Linked DNA regions of Drosophila melanogaster. The protein of the gene in region 2 interacts with the protein of the main gene of each other region in a pairwise test. Each region holds a gene or a part of one and is shown on either strand. Other genes may lie near its edges.

Region 1 (4,683 bases), on a different chromosome or scaffold from region 2:
TATTGTGCAGCTCCATTCGCGACTGGGTGGCAACTCCCGCACATTGTTTTCATTTGCGATTGCAAACAAAATTTAATATTACTTGTATTCGAAACAATTAAGCTGAGAAATCATCATGTAAGTCTGCGTTATTATCCTCCGGCTTTGCCATAGCTAACTCTCGATTCCAACAGGACGGAGTACTGGAAATCAAACGAGCGCAAGTTCTGCGACTTCTGCAAATGCTGGCTGAGCGACAACAAGGCGGTGAGTCCATAGAATAAACTCGCTTTTCGGCACTCTAATGACCCCTAATCCCGCAGAGCGTCGCCTTCCACGAGAGTGGCAAGCGGCACAAGATGAATGTGGCCAAGCGGATCACGGACATCAGTCGCAACAGCGAGAAATCGGAGCGGGAGCGCCAGAAAATGGACGCGGAGATCCGCAAGATGGAGGAGGCGGCCATGAAGTCGTACGCACAGGATGTCCATTCGCGCGGTGACATGACCGCCAGGTCCATTAACACGGTAATGAGGGCCACCGCCACTGCTGCCGCCTCAGGCGGAGCTCACTCCTTCGCCGGAAGATCACGCCAAGTGGACCCCATGCGCCTGGAAGGATTGTCCGACGAAGAAGAAGACCAGAGGCGGGTGGCTCCCGGCAAGGTAACAAGCGACGCAGCCGTGCCCGAGGCATCCCTCTGGGTGGAGGGCAAGTCGGACGAGGGACACACCTACTATTGGAACGTGAAGACCAATGAATCCGTGTGGAAGCCGCCGAAAGAGGGCTATCTGTCCTACGAGGAGTACGAGCGCATCAACCAGCTGGCCATCGACCAGCAGCAGATCTCCCAGGCCGAGGAATCGCTGAAATTCCGCGCCAATGTCGACGAGGAAGTGGCGAGGGTGAACCGAGAGAAGATGAAAGCCTTCCGCAGGACGGACAATCCCAAGGAAAAGAAGCAGAAGGAGGAGAGGCGTCAGACATTCAAAACGGAGGAAGAGGCGGCCACCAAAGAGATTGGACAGTGGCAAACTGTGGAAGTGAAGTAGGGCCTTCCTACTAGGTTCAAATGCATTTACTGATAAATTTATGGATTTTTGTAGAGCACCTGAGCAGCCCATCGACTGGCAGCTACCCAAAACGGATTACTACAGTGCTGCGCCCGTGGTTTCCGCCTCGAGTGAACCAGAACCTCCAGTCAAGAAGTTCAAGGAAAAGACGATTGGCGGTCTGGATGAGGAGATAGCCGCCACTGCGCCCGCCACGTTCAAGCGGAAATTCATCAGGAAGGGAAACAGCCGCCAGCGCGCCGAGGATTAAGAAGTACTCCATGTGCTTATGTGCATATTTCACCTACTAGTTAGGTTTAGGCATAGGAAATGTTTAGGTTTTTAAGTGTTTGCTTATACCAATTAAAAAGTGAGATGCGTTTAACTAATATTAGATTAAACATAGCTATTGTAGAATTATTATTATCTTTAGTCGACTTGCATTCAATAAATATTTCCCAACATTTTAAATAGTAATATGTTTTTTAAAAAGTTTTAAATTTCGATAACAGTTATCGAATTAGGTTCAATCGGTGTGTGTCTGTGCTTTAGTTGCGGCATATTTAGGTCTTAGAGCTCCGTCCAATTTTAGTGCATTTCCAGCGGCAACACGAGGTATGTTTCTCCCGTCCGCCAACGGTCACTCTGCTGCTGTTGTTGTAGGCGAGCGGTCGGAATTTGCGTCGGAATTGTGTTGAGTCGAGTCGCGCTATTTTGTTTCGAGTGCGCTGTGCTGTTTGGTTTCGTTCCGTTTCGTTTCGCTGTTCGTTTTCCACTCGTCTTCGAATCCGCACTGCAAACAAACAAGGAGAAGGGGAAGCAGCAAAAGTGGCGAGTGCATTCGCAGCGTCGAAATTTCAATTGAAATCTGAAATCTGTGTGGCAATTGCAGCGGCACTCGGTGTAAATAGATTGAATTGAAGCGAAATTCTGCGAGTCGAAGAAGTGAAAAGTAAACAATAACACGGGCAATCGGAAAAGTGGTTTTCGATAAATCGCACCGCACACACACACCTGTCAGTGTGAGTGTCAAAGTGAGTGTGTGAGTGTGCGTCGAAGGAGAGGAAAGGTCAAGCCAAAAATTGCGTAAAGAAAAGGAAAGGAAAGCTTAGAAGAGGGGAAGGGGAATTACGTCAGTTTCGCATTCCCGATAAAAATTTTTGATTCCCTAAACGATCCTGATAGCCAGCCATTACGATAGGCAAAAAACGATAACAGCGGAAATTTACGTCAATTTGGAGCAGAAAGTAAACGATACCAATTCCCGAAAGAATTCAAAAAATCAGGCAAGATTCAGTTCGTGTACGCTTACAACAGCTCCGCGCCCCACGCCGCCTCCTCCTACCGCACCGCCGTCGCCCCCTTTGCGCCCTACGCGGCCGAGCGGTCCACCCACCACCACCCACTCCCGCCCCCCGAGGAGCGGCTGCCCTCGGACACCGAGCAGCTAGCTGGATCCGACGAGGATCGGGCTCAGAGCCACGAAGCGGAAGCGGAGGAATCCGAGGAGGAGCGCGCAGGTAGCGGACCCTCCGTCAGGCCGCTCATCGCAGCAGCAGGAGCAACAACAACGACAACGTCGACGTCAGTAGTACCGGAAGCGGTACAAAGGGCGGCGGCCAAGGGAGCGACAGAGACGGCGACAATGGCGGTGGTGCGCAAGAAACAGGACGACAAGTACCTGCTCGCCCTGCGGGAACTAGTGGCCAGCGGGACGGGGAGCAATCGGCAGTGCTTCGACTGCGGCCAAAAAGGACCAACCTACGTGAACATGACCATCGGATCCTTTGTCTGCACCCGCTGCTCCGGAGTCCTGTAAGTATTTGCCTTCTTGTTGTTGTTTTCTAGTCTGGGATAATGTAGGGTAGATCCAGGAATTAGGCATAAGTCGCCTGCTAGGTGACCTTTGTTATGAGAATGTAACTGTAACTTGGCTATTCATATTTTAGTTATTTCTTTGGTTGTCTCTTTGAGTTTACCAGGTATTCAAGATACCTCTGGAAAATATTTCAAACAATTTCCGATGCACAGATTGATCTAGCTTGAGATTTGTAGAATAAGGATGGTGGGTTATGAACTGACAAATCTCTTAAAATCTTCCACAAGAAGAATCCAGATATACGACATTTATGGTTATGGCTTTCTTGAATGGCTTTTGGTTGAATTCACACATGTTTTTTATCAAAAAGCTGGCTACCTATATACATATTCTGATAACTGCCAAATGGGCTACCCCCACTGCGTTTAGGAGTCATATAAAATATTGCCTTGAGTGTTTCCAAAAATAGAAATGCAAATTGAGAGCTATCAACGTCGATCCGTGGACCTTTCTTGGTCTCCCGTGTTATCTTGACTTGAACCCAGCCAATTTGAACTCGCCTGACGTCCATTTGGGATCTGTGCCCGAGTGGAGTGACCGATAATTTGCGATCGATCGATGCAATGTCCGATCCCGCCCCCCATTATTATTTCGTATTGTGTGTGAAAGCGAAAGCAATTCCCCAACAATTTCGAACAATTTCGCACAATTTGGCTTCCTTTCCTTTTTGAATGCAAATGCAAATCGAAGACAAAACTTTCAATTGCGCGACATCGCGGCGAACGAAATTGTTTTGTCTTCGCCGGCGTCGCTTTCTATTCGTGTTTTTCCGTGGGGAGACGTTTTCGAGAGCCGCCCACCTGGCGGTTGAGTTGTGGGTGTCCTTGGCGCCCCTCAGTTTATTTTTTATTTTTGCCCCTCTAAGTAATTTGGCAAATTGGCTTTGATTTGTGAGCACTATGGCCAAATTGGGGTCATATATGTATTACCACTCCGCCGACACTGCATTTCATTTGATTTACGCATTTCCGGATCAAGCACATTACATGATTGCTCTTAAACTTCCGCTTGGCCCAGGTCCAGAAGCCCAGTCTCCCACGATTCGTGTGCCCCAGATTGTGGCCTCTCAATTGGACAGCATGCGGGTTTCTCCGCTGAGTTATCTCTATCATCGGAACCAGGTTGAAAAGTAGCCAACTGCAATGCGTTCGCCCTGCTGCACTCTGCAGTCCCCAACTCTTGTTTCGATGACTCATTGCCCATTCCTCAGTCTTCGGTGTGCGGTGCTCAATCCTCAATCCTTAGTCCTCAAACCTTGTTGCCAACTGCCAAGGGAAACAAATGTTGGCATGTAAATGAAAAGCCACATAAATGCCGGGGACACCAAGCGATTGCACTGCGAGAAAGGGTTAATGGTTAATTGTAACAAACAATTGGTCCTGTTAGTCGGATACTTCTGCGGTTTTTCAGTTACTAGTCTAACGACGTGCCACGTTTCTGCCGGTGTAGCCAAAAAGGGGTGTGGAAAGGTACTGCAGCAAATGGGGGACTCGGCCGAGGAAGGGGGCGTGGCAGGGGCGACAGCAGGCGACAACGAACTTCCTGGCTGAAAATGAGACTGGAACGTCGACTGCGACAAGGGAGCGAGTGCAGGGAATACCAAATGAAACCAACTCCTCCGACTCACGAAGAAATGGCTGTGCATGTTCGGCCCGCCTTTGGATATTGGAATCCGCTGCAGACCGGCCGGTCACTTGGAGCGCTTAATGGAGGAAGCGGTTCAGGAATGAGAATGGAACTGGCAATGGTAGTGGGTTTCAGAATGGGAATGTC
Region 2 (4,214 bases):
TCTTTGCCAAAGAGATTCTTCCACACCGTGGTCTTAACAAAGAGAAGCATTTGGGTTAGTTTTGTTTCTCGCTTGGAGCTGCGCTCCCTCACGAAATACAGGTCGATTATGCGGGTGCCTACATCTTGACCCAGATCGTGGAGTCTGAAAACGCCTTGGAATTAACGAATTAATCGCAAAAACTTAGAGAAACTCCCACCTTGTTTGCAATTCTGGGACTGTAAACACTCGGCTCTGCGAGTACTGGACGATTTCGCTGAAAAGCAGCGCCACAATGCTCTGGGAAACCTCCGTTTTGCCCTTGGATAGTGGTCTGTCTAGGATGTTGCTGCGCGGACGCATCGAGGATATTTTTAGGGCCTCCAGTTTTTCCATTTTCCTGATAAATGTATCAAATTATTTTCCAAAACAATGCAAAGTGTGCACGCCACCCTATCTGCCCGAAATGCCAAAGAGCGTTGCAGAAATGGTCACACTTAAAGTTGCGACAATAATACAATAAATATTAATTATATTTATTAAACCACTTGCTTTTTTTTTAAAATGTTGATGTACATTTTAAAAAATATATTATTAAAAATATGCTGATTTGTTTCATAAATATCAAATGAACGAAGTGTACAATGTATAACAGAAAAGTGTGCCAAGTTGTTATACTAGCACAAACTGAAGCCCGCAAATTTGAATTCTAGTCGTTACTATTCAAACTCAATAGTTAATCGGCAACAAAATCGTCCGATTTTATCTTCCTTGTGCTGCAACAGTCAATCTTTTTACTCGGGTCCTGAAATATCACCTGAGACCAGTGATCTTTGGAGCATTGTTGTAATTCCGAAAGGTAATCCTCGAAGTGTTTGAAACGAATTTCCCGGGTATTGGGACAACCGACGCCGTGATAATAGCTGCACAAGCTATCGCATATCCAGTTTCGCTGTCCGGAATCACTTGCGTATTCCTCACTCTGTGCGTCATTGCCCTCCAAGGCATCCTCGTACATGCGCGACGTTATTCTCGATATGGATTCGTCGATCTTGTACTCCACCTCCGGGTTGAAAATCAGCTTCATCACCAACGGGTGATCCTCCTCCCGTCGCGCATATAGTAGATACCACAATGGCATCAGGTTGAATCGAATACAGGACATTAAACGACGTACGTGCACTTTCCTCTTGTTCCAATCGTGACCCAGCCATCGAACAGCTATAAAGAAAACCTAAGAAAAACATATAAAATGCAATAATAACTATAAATATTATGTTGAACACCACCTCAATCTCGGTGTTCACACAGATTTGATCGGATTCGAGCAAAAAAATCAGATGGGAGGTCGGCAGATCGAGGAAATCCCTGGTGGCCACAAAGGTGAGCAGAAACTTGCGGATCCTAGTCAGCATCAAATTGCGAACTACATCCATGGCGGGATTGTCCTTCGACTCGACGTATAGGACACATGCCGTATCCTCGTTGTAGTATTCCTCATCATCGAAATATTTCCAACAATGCGCCGCCAGACCAGAGATCCTCAAATAAGTGGCGGCCACATAGACCTCCACAATGTGAGCCAGCTCCAGGACGGGCTCATCGCTCAGCATCCATTTGTAGGAGAGCATAAAGGCCTTCTGGGACACGATCTTCTCGGGCAGGGTGACCAGCAGCGGAATCATCTCCAGTTCACTAAAGAAGCGAGAGTACACCTGCAGCACGATGAAGTGGCAATTGAAGTACATATTGTTGATTTCTATCTGCACAGTGGTCTTCAGATGGGACTCGAACATGTAGCGCAGCACCGTGGCCAGCCGATCCTTGCAAGGCTGCTCCAGTTTCAGCCAGCCATCGGCATCCTCGAAATTATGACCGAACTCGAAGAGGGAGCGATTCAGAGACGTGGTCTCCTCGACACCATTCTTTGATATCTTACTGAACACTCTATGCATTTCGAGATCCTCCGCCTTCGATACGAATCTCGCAATGGAGTTTATTTCATCATTGGAGGATAACTTCTCGGCACTAAGCTTGGGACTGCAAGGAGAAGGAAAATATTTTAAGATTACTCCGACTGGTTTAAGATTAACTCACTTGGTAAATAAAACGCTGCAGGTGAGTTCCTGCCTCTCGCATTTCTGTCCGTTCTGCCTCATTAGCTCCTCCATTTCGAAATTTGGTTTTCTTGTTTTGGATTTTTGACTGCACGGCTACTGTGTTTTTAAGTGTTTTAAAAAAAAAACACACTCGTAGCTTTCACATTGTTTATTAAATTGTGTTTTATTGTTGGTATTCTTTTGTTCACATTTTCAAATACATTTATATGAATAAATATATCATTTATATTACTATTTTCTTTATCCTTTTCTGCAATGACACGTTTCTTTTCAATTTAATATGAGTATATGCGGCTATTTTAACTATTTTTTCTGATTTCGATGTGAAACAATAAGGGTAAGAAAATGATACAAATTGCAAAAGGTGATATTTTATTTTAGCTAAAGTAATAATTCCGCCTTTTGATCTAGTTTTATTGTGTGTTTGAGGACGATTGCAATAATAGTTAGCTATTTTTCCATTGTGTAAGCGTGTAAATTAGAGAGTAATATAAAACGTAATTGTAAATTATAGATACATATTTAACATTTTGTACTTCTTGTTGTTGAGTGTTTTGTTTCCGTTTCCGTTTCTGTTTGATCCGTTCACGGTTCATCTTGCCTTATATTTTCAAAAATTTGCATTCCATTGATGTCCGTTTTCAGATCTTGGCTTGTATTTTCTGAGGTTTGTATCAATGTGTTTGCTGAATTTTGCACATTTAATAACAATTGCCGTATTTAGTTAATTTTTACAATAATAATGTTGCTTTTTAATGTGTTTTTTTTTTGCACAACCTTTGCTTATTTTTAATAAATATGCATTTTGTTTTTTAGTTTTCGTGTGAATTTCTTTCTTTCATGGGTTTTCTCACCGACTTAGTACAACAATAATTATATAGTAAGAAATAAATTAATGTTTTTTTTTTTATTATTTTTATATATATATATAGCTGCATATATGAGTTTGTTGACTTTTTGAAAACACTTAAATTGTTTGTTTTTTGTTTTTGTTTTATTTTTACCCCTTTGCTCAAATGCCTCCTCTTTCGGCCATTTTATAAACGGCCCAAAGTTGTTGGCATTTCAATAAAAATTACAAATTGCTTCGCATTCTAGAATTATTTAGTTGCAAAAGATTTCCAATCGAGCAATGCTGCGCTCTTTGTTTGTCCATCGACTCTCTAATTCTAATTGGTTTCTCATTCTATTTCAACGTCTGAACAAAAGATTTTGGAAAACAAACGTTTTGAGTTTGGGGCAAAAGGAATATTTTGAATCTTCATGAGCCCTAAGAAGAGACAAAAACATCCTTTTTATAAGGCAACCGAATGGGTACATAGTTCTGAACTAAAGCACATTTAAGTAACAATTGCCGAGCATAGCGAACGCACAAAACTTGAGCATTGCCGCAGACTCTTTTGCTAGAGGAGTAAATCGAATACAATTTGTAATTCTTCTTCAGGTTCGGAGAAGAACGGCTCGACAGCCGTGTCGTCGTCGTCCACTAATTCTTCTGCCGAGTTGTTGCGTGTCTCGATTTTTTTTTTTTTATTCATTTGCGCATCAGGTTGCCGTTTGTTTGAACTTTTCGTGTGAGTTTTTGAGCGCGTGACATTGATTAACAAATTGGAATCGCGCAGAGAAAATCGCATTTAAATATATTTAGTTCTCGTTTCGCCTTTGCCTTCGCCTTGGCCTTTTAATACTGTTCTCCAATTTCGAATTGTAAACAAGCAAGTGTAAAATAGCAAAAAACCCTAAACAACTAAAACTAAAACAATCATTGTATAATATTTTGATTTTTCAAAAAAATGTGTGTTCAGTTACGAATAAAAACAAATAGCCCGTTTTTACAAAACTATAATTAAGCGAGAGCACTAAACATAAGTTACAATTTTAAAAGTATATTAAAATTAGATACATAATCCTTCCTGCTCTTTTGTATATACAATTAATTATGGCAATTCAAATGGAGTATACCGAAATGATACTAAAATCGAACCCCAGACCCATTTTGGCAAACTGATTTTCAAGCTGAATTGCTTCTTACGCATTCTTCTTTCACCCGATTTGAAAAAGCTGTGCTTTTGCATCGACACGATTTTTTCATCTCAACAGTGTGAAAACATTGTT
Region 3 (7,676 bases), on a different chromosome or scaffold from region 2:
GGAGGAACGTTGCGATAAATTGGATCGAGCACTTCACCAGACCATGCAGAATATATCGGATTTGGAGACCCAAATGGCCATGCAGCAGCGGATTGCCAGTGTCCAGAATATAAGGGGTACATATTGTTGGTTCAATATAGTAATTTAAATATATAATATCTGGTCGTACAGGACACTTGATTTGGCGCATCAAGGATTACTCGAAAAAACTGGAAGAGTCCAAGCAGTACGACACCATCCTCCATAGCGCCATGTTCTCCAATAAAGCCTTTGGCTATGCTCTACGGGTGAGTTGAGGTTGGATCTTGGTTGGATATGCCATTTATATATGTATACCCCATTACTAGCTGGATATATACTTGAATGGCAAGGGCACCTGGAAGGGCAGGAACATGATCGCCTGCTTGAACGTTCTATCCGGAGAGTACGATCCCCTTCTGGCCTGGCCATGCCGCCTTCAGGCCGAGATCATCATCCGGGATCAGTGCACGAATGTGGCAGATGCCGAGGATTATGTGAAGACCATCTTTGTGCGCAAGAAGAGCGATGATTTTATCCAAAGCAACCAGTACTTCCATATACCACACAAGGTAATCACCAGTCGCAACTATCTTCGCAACGATTCCATGTTCATCGAGGTTCGAGTTCTAAAATAAAACCCATGCAGCATCGCTATCCCACCCACCAGGAGCGATAAGAAAAAAAAAATCCAATTGCGGATTGTCACATACATAAAACATAATTTATTCCATTGAGAGCGAACTGGAAGTTAAAAACCCGCTTACAAACACGAGTATGTGTACATATATAGTGTATAAGTGCATACGAATCGATTCATCGTTTCAATATGCGTATATTGTAGTTTTAAATGTCATTGCAGTTTTAAATGCTTTTTTTCAAATTAGGCAATAGTCACATTGAGGCACTGTCGAGACGAAGTCGGTAGTTAGAAAGCATAGCTTTTATTGCAACATTTCCCTGGTCACTTTGTCAAGATATAAGCAACTCTTTCATTTTTTGGTTTTTCATTTCGAGCAAATTAACAAGCGATTTTTGAGAGGAACTTCCATATTATTTGTCTTTACGAACGCATTTAAATACAAAGGTCTTTTAATAAAATACAACTTCAACACTTGTCAACTGTCGGTTCCCATGTTCATTTCTTTGAAAGAGGTATCAAATGTCTGATCCCGTTCAGGTATTATTTGTGTGCACTTATAGTCTACGTTGTGGATCATAATTGTCTGGCTTCGTTGGCGTGTTCTTGTATGTTGTATGCATTTAAATGAACGAATACATAGAAGAGATAATACATATTCGAATAATTGATTTCACGTCGGATTTGGTTTGAATAATACATATATATGTATATGCGGAGATTCTTAAGAGGAGCGCTGTTCACCCACCAGGGCATAAAGGGCGTGCTTGTAGTGGCCCGAAGTATCGCCCTGCAAGTAGGATTTTATATGATTATAGAATATAGATATAGATAGATATATATATCTTACCTTGATCCAGCTCTTGAGGGACTTGCCGTACAGACGTTCGAACGCTACCTTAATGTCCGTCATATCAATCTGAAAAACGTTGCAACATTTTAGGGTTGAATGATATTATATATAGATGTACTTACCTCGCTGCGCGTGATGATCACACGGATCAACTGGGTGTCATTGGTGCCAATTCCGGCCATCGCCTTGTGCAGGCGCGAAGCGAAGTATTCGGCCTTGTTGGTGACGCACCTGTAGATGGCAATCAGGCCCTCCATCACATCGCCGGAGAACTCCTTCTTGATCGCCTTCTCCAGCGAGTGGCCAGTCATGCCCTCGTACTCTTGGAATATCTGCGGTTAGGTATGATTATGTTGGAGTTTCAATTGTACACACAAGTACTCAAGTATCAAGCAGCATACCAGTTTCAATTGCTGATAGTTCCTCTGGCAGAGGATCATGTTGAACATGCTCTCATCGGTGCCGACGCGCAGTTCGCCGGCTTTCAGTAGCTCCCTAGCATCGTTCTTGGCCGCCACGGGATCCACGCGACCACTCTCATCCCGCGCCGCCGTGCACAAGGAGGTAAGCAGCCGCTTAAAGTTGCCCGACGTCTCCGACTTTAGTTCAGACTCCAAATGGGCGCCGTACACTAATATACACGATTGGCAGAAACAAAATCCATATTAGAACAAAGAGAAAAGGCTAAGCCAAATAGATTACGACCTACATCGTAAGTACTGGTTTTTGATCGTATTGATCTCCATGTTGGACAGCGTGCAGAGGATCTCGATGAGGACCTCCTCGTCGGTGCCCAGGCCAGCCATGGCATCGTTTAGCTCGGCGCAGTAGTAGTCCACGATGGGACGCAGCAGGCCGACGAGGAGTTTCTCAAAGTTGCCGCTCGTCTCCGACTTGATGTCCTCGATGAGGTCCTTGCCGAAGTGCGTCTTGAACTGGCGCTGGATCTCCTGGCGCTGCTCGTTGGATCGCCGACAGATGATGTTAATCAGAGCGTCCTCATCTGTTCCAAAGCCCTTCATGGCCTTGCGCAAGTCGTGAGCATCCTTGACGGCATCGAAGTTTGCGGCAGGCACCACCGTGGGAGTTCCCTGAAAAGAACAGTCAAAACAGTCACTGAAAACGAGCTCAGATCTGATGGGCATGATGAACATGTATTGTTTTAGACCCGCCCTGGAACAAATTCGACTGAGGATGGGGAAGTGCGGTTAGTGTGGACGTGAGTCCCCAAATTTGATGACCAACCTCTCTGTGAGCTGGGAGTGACCGATGCGCGTGCCCCTGACCATTCCCATGCCCCTGTCCATGCCCATAGCCCTGCCCATATCCATGCCCATATTCATGTCCTTGCCCATGTCCGTGCCCATGTCCTTGCCCATGTCCATGTCCTTGTCCATGTCCTTGTCCGTTTCCGTAGCCATAGCCCGCATCATATCCGGCTGTCATGGCCGGTGTGTATCCACGATCCGCGGGATAGGGACTGTTCGACACCGATGGCTGCTGATAATGATTGTGCGCTGGAGGAGCGTATTGTGCCGGGTAAGGATTCGAGGTGGGATATGGTGGATAGGATGGGGCGGCGGACGGGTACGGTGCCGACATTGGTGGATAAGGAGCTGGAGCTCCGCCTGGATATTGCTGATGCTGCTGAGGATGCATTTGGGACGATGGCTGTGAGTGTGGGTGTGGCTGGGAGGGTGGTGGGTATGGCGAGTTTTGCTGCATCGGTGGCACCCAACCAGCTCCAAAGGGCGCCCGTGGCGGCTCGTGGTGGTTAGTGGAGGTAGGGGGGTGCGATGGCATTCCAGAACCCTATAAAAGTCAGAAAATGTACAATTCAAGTTGACTCCATGGCGCTGAATTAAACACAGAGCTCACAAGAATGACATCTATCTCTTAGAAAAATGAATCAGACTAAACGAAAGAACTCACCCGAATAAATTATTATAGTTTTATACCCAAAAAAATATGTTATACCAAACTTATTTATAAAATATATTGTGAATATGTTATGATATTTAAGAACCAAGGCACTTATTAATGCTGATACTTTTATAACTAAAATCTACAGGATGTGCATTCAAAACTTACGAAGGGATACATTTTGAGGGAGGTTCTATGGAGATTCTGTGGATAATTTCCGGTGATTGAGATTCAGTACTGGAAAAGAGCAAAATAGGAATTATGCGTTTCGTTAAATTGAAAATATTCACACACATGCACAAGTACAATGTACATATAGTTTTAATGTTTAATCAGCTGATCTAACATCATGTTAAAGATTGGTGCTCAAATAGAAGGTACAAGCGACTTTGAACCGAAACATTAGATTACACTACGCAACAAAACGTGCTAATGTACAAATCAAACTTTAAGTTATAAAATAGGTCTAACTTGTATTTGAGTATACATACATTGGAAACCAATCAAATTGGAGTGGGGATTGCGCTATTAGATAAGAACACTATTACAGGGTATGCCTTATAATTTAAGCAATTAAGAGTAATATGAATTTGCGTCATATATGGGATAAAGGCATCCGGTTTTGCTTAGAGAGGGAACTTCCCAAAAAAATAAATCAACTGATATGGATATATGAAATATGCAAAAACATTAAAATAAAATAATTAATTTCGGCGATATAGTAAACTGTCCCAAGAGACCTTATAATGGTTCCACTGAAATGTCGCCAATGTAGACTTTCGCCACATGTACACATGTATGCTACACCCATTTGTGGCCCACAAGGTACTTCATATCTACATATATATATATATATATACATATATATACATATATATAAACGTTGTGTTTTCCCTTTTACCTTATATTATATATGCGCAATATAGCTGCGGGTCATGCGTGTTACTTGTAATTTATAATTTTTTGCTTCAGACAGAGGGACGCCTCCTGACTTAATGGGTATGGAAACAAATGTGAGGCCTGAATATAATATATTAAACTATTTGCACAAAGGCTTTGGGTTTGTTTTCCAATTGTTTCGTCATTTGCAAAGCCTTTCTTGAAAACTTTTCAATTGATAAACATAAACAACTGCATGTACGGTCTGTTCTGTCCCACTCTTTATACATTTTTAACCAAAAAATTAAGTTAAATTCGTTTTGGAAAAGACTTCAATGGCACCTCGCAGCGCAAATAACCAGAACAATGGCTTTATTTCCACCGCAGCGATTTCTGCGGTCCATTATCATCGGAAAGGGCCGTTTTCAAGGCAACAGAACGCATTTGCTCACTCCGAGATGATTCATCTTACACTCAAACCCACGTCAACAAAGTCTACCCGTGCGCATACATAAGTATCTATGTATCTAAGTATCTATGTATACTAATTGAGTCATGCTTTTACAAATGGATCAGAAGTAAAATTCCTGTGAATTTTGGATTCATAGTTACATAGAGCCGAAAAGATATTTCGAACATTTGCGAAATACAATTTTGATGCTTCATTTTGCAATTAGTTGTTGTACTTTTTATATATTTCTTTACTTATGATTTTGGCACAGTAAATTCGAACAACTTTGCGTAAATACCACTAAAAATAAGACAATAATCGCTTACAACTTTGAGTGCGCTTATCTTGAAATTCTTTGAAATGGTCCCGGATTCCGGGAAAAGTATAAGTTCGATCGCTTTCATTTAAGTATAACCTATTAAAAGCGCACATGAGATAGATAGATAGGTCAGAAGATTGGCATTTAGGCATAAAAATGGGCCTTATGTGCACGCCCCTACATAATTAGATACATAGGTGGGCGCATCTATTCCTATTGTATCATAATTTATTAGATGGTAATTATTTACTAGCAAGGTCGCAATCAACAGATGGGTAAAACGCACACAAGTGCAGCACATCAACACGTGTCAGTGCCGGTGTGCGTGCGTGCGTGTGTGTGAGTAGTTGCATTTCGAGATACAATTGTATCTTTGTATCTGAAGATATCAAACGAAAGTTTCTATCGCTGGTTACCCCGCCACCAGTCGTACGATATATGTATTTCTTCTCGGCAGATACACACACAGGCACACAAATACGTCTGTCTTGGAGAATATTTGGGAGCAGAGACTTAAAGTAAAGATTTCACAAGTCTACACTTCAGGGAAACGTGTTAAACAGCAATAAGAACACGCATGTTGCGCGAAAACAAATACACCATAAAGAACGGCACAATTATAACGCTTTTAATTACTTTAAGTATCGGCAAACGCGATGTTGGCACTCTGCGGGTATTTTGTAATGCCGAAGTGAATTTATCAACTGACTTACCGCCAGGGCGGGACAACAACCTGTTGTTACTTTGATTACTCGATTCTAGTCGATAGCTGTGCCCTTTCCAATCGGAATATCGGTGGCTATCGAGTAGCCGGTGCATTCACAATTTCGTATGTTCCCGGTATAACTGCGAAGTAACTGCAATATTAAAACATTATTTTCTTTAATTTGGAAATCAGTTTTCAGAATTCACTTTTGTAGTTGCTTAATTCAAATCTCTTAACATACCTAATTTCCCAATAAGAAATCAACGGAAATTTAAGCTAAAGTACGTTCAATGCAGTAAATTTTATGATTCACTTTATAGAGAATCTTTGTACAATCTTTATGTGGAGTTTTTCATACTTTTATTTTGAAATTCTATATAGCCGCGATATAAAAAGTCAAAGAGATCGACTTATCGAATTAAAATGGCTTCTTTGATGGTTATTTCCCAGAGTGACCGGGTATGCGACCGCTAAGAAAAACCGCCGTACAGTGGTAAGTGTGACCACGCATGCGTCTGCCACAAGCGATAGCGATAGTAAGGTCCAGGCTTCGCCCGGCGTGCCCATCTCTAGCCAAAAACGACCTTTTTTCGCCAGAAATCATTTTCCCGTTTACAGTCGCAGATACGCCACGGCAATTCGCAGTCCCAGTGTAGCGGTCATTTTTTTTCCAGTGCGACTCCTCCAAACAAAAGCGAAGTGGAAAAATAGGCGAAGATAAAGGAAACCCAAGAGCGAAACTCCAAATTGCGAATCAGCAAAGGATCAATGGCAACGAAATAAGTAAAAGAACCAGTGCGAACAATGTGCGAAAAGTGGGAAACGCGAGCGGCGTGGTCGTTTCCGTCGGAGAGCGGATAATATAGCACATAGTAGTATATTGTAGTAGTGGATGTGGATGGTGTGGAACGATTGCGAACGGACGCAGACCGAAACAAAAGTGAAAACGTGCAAAAAACCAAACCCAAAAACAAATTCAACCGAGAAGTAGAAGCAAGCGGCAAAGAAGAGAGCGAGAGGGCGACCAATACAAAAGCGACAAAATGTGCGACGCTGCGGCGGCAACAGCGACAACAACAACAACAGCAGCAGTAGCAGCAGCCGTCGCAACAACAACAGCATCGGTAGCATTGGAGGCCACAGCGACACAGCCTGGAACGACAACGACGACGGTAGCCACTGCGTCAGCGGGAACCACATCCCCTGAAGCGGCCATTCCAACAGCAGCAACAGCAACATCGGCGAGAAACAGCAACAGCGAACGGTCGGCGCGACAAAACTGCTGTCGCCTGTGCATCGCCCCACAAACCGAATGCATCTCGATCATCAATAGCTATGCGGCCGACAAGGAGCCGCTGTCCACCAAGATCCACAACTGCGTCGGCATCAAGGTGAGTGGTTATGGGTATGGGTATGGGTGTGGGCATGGGCACGGGTGCGGATGCGGATGCGGGTATATACATAATCCGGCTGTTGCCATCGCCATTGCTGCCGTCGGTGTCGTCATCCCGGGTCTCCGATTCCGAGTCCGAGTCCGCCGCTCTCACTGAACGCTCTCTTGGGTGCTCTGGCACTCCGGTGCTCTGGTGGTTGGACACCATTAACAGTTATACACACAGATCCCAAATGGTCAGTGGAAGGATGAGGCGGTGGCCACACCCGTTCGCTGGACAGAATGGAAAAGTGAGGTTACGGATGATGCCGAGTAACCATTGGGCAGTGGGCATTGGGCCCCGGAGTTCAAGACCCATCGAAGGGGGATTGTGCAAGCAACCAAAGATGATGGCCAGCCACATCCAAAAACGAAAAACCAAGCAAACAAAAAAAAAAAAAACGAACGAACCGAAAACCAGCCAAACTCCGCCTCCTACTCCTCATCTGCTTTGG

The links.
Region 1: the proteins of CG12857 (region 2) and drongo interact in a two-hybrid assay, tested with the Drosophila melanogaster proteins (one large-scale study listed by BioGRID).
Region 3: the proteins of CG12857 (region 2) and AnxB11 interact in a two-hybrid assay, tested with the Drosophila melanogaster proteins (one large-scale study listed by BioGRID).

What each region holds. Positions count from the first base shown.
Region 1 is NT_033779.5:848,062-852,744, reverse strand, and holds the start of drongo (drongo), read left to right. Parts: upstream 1-1,673; 5' UTR 1,674-2,676; coding exon 2,677-2,846; intron 2,847-4,683. Other genes in the region: CG4291 (uncharacterized protein), read left to right, coding at 116-117, 174-246, 303-1,027, 1,086-1,302.
Region 2 is NT_033778.4:14,757,407-14,761,620, forward strand, and holds CG12857 (uncharacterized protein), read right to left. Parts: upstream 2,197-4,214; 5' UTR 2,151-2,196; coding exon 2,077-2,150; intron 2,020-2,076; coding exon 1,269-2,019; intron 1,214-1,268; coding exon 716-1,213; 3' UTR 501-715; downstream 1-500. Other genes in the region: Trs31 (TRAPP subunit 31), read right to left, coding at 1-144, 200-375.
Region 3 is NC_004354.4:16,416,448-16,424,123, forward strand, and holds AnxB11 (annexin B11), read right to left. Parts: upstream 5,796-7,676; 5' UTR 5,334-5,795; intron 3,946-5,333; exon of another isoform or gene 3,926-3,945; intron 3,679-3,925; exon of another isoform or gene 3,672-3,678; 5' UTR 3,615-3,671; coding exon 3,603-3,614; intron 3,324-3,602; coding exon 2,757-3,323; intron 2,603-2,756; coding exon 2,221-2,602; intron 2,143-2,220; coding exon 1,913-2,142; intron 1,844-1,912; coding exon 1,634-1,843; intron 1,578-1,633; coding exon 1,509-1,577; intron 1,449-1,508; coding exon 1,383-1,448; 3' UTR 657-1,382; downstream 1-656. Other genes in the region: Traf-like (TNF-receptor-associated factor-like), read left to right, coding at 1-116, 172-287, 348-656; hang (hangover), read left to right, coding at 6,833-7,180.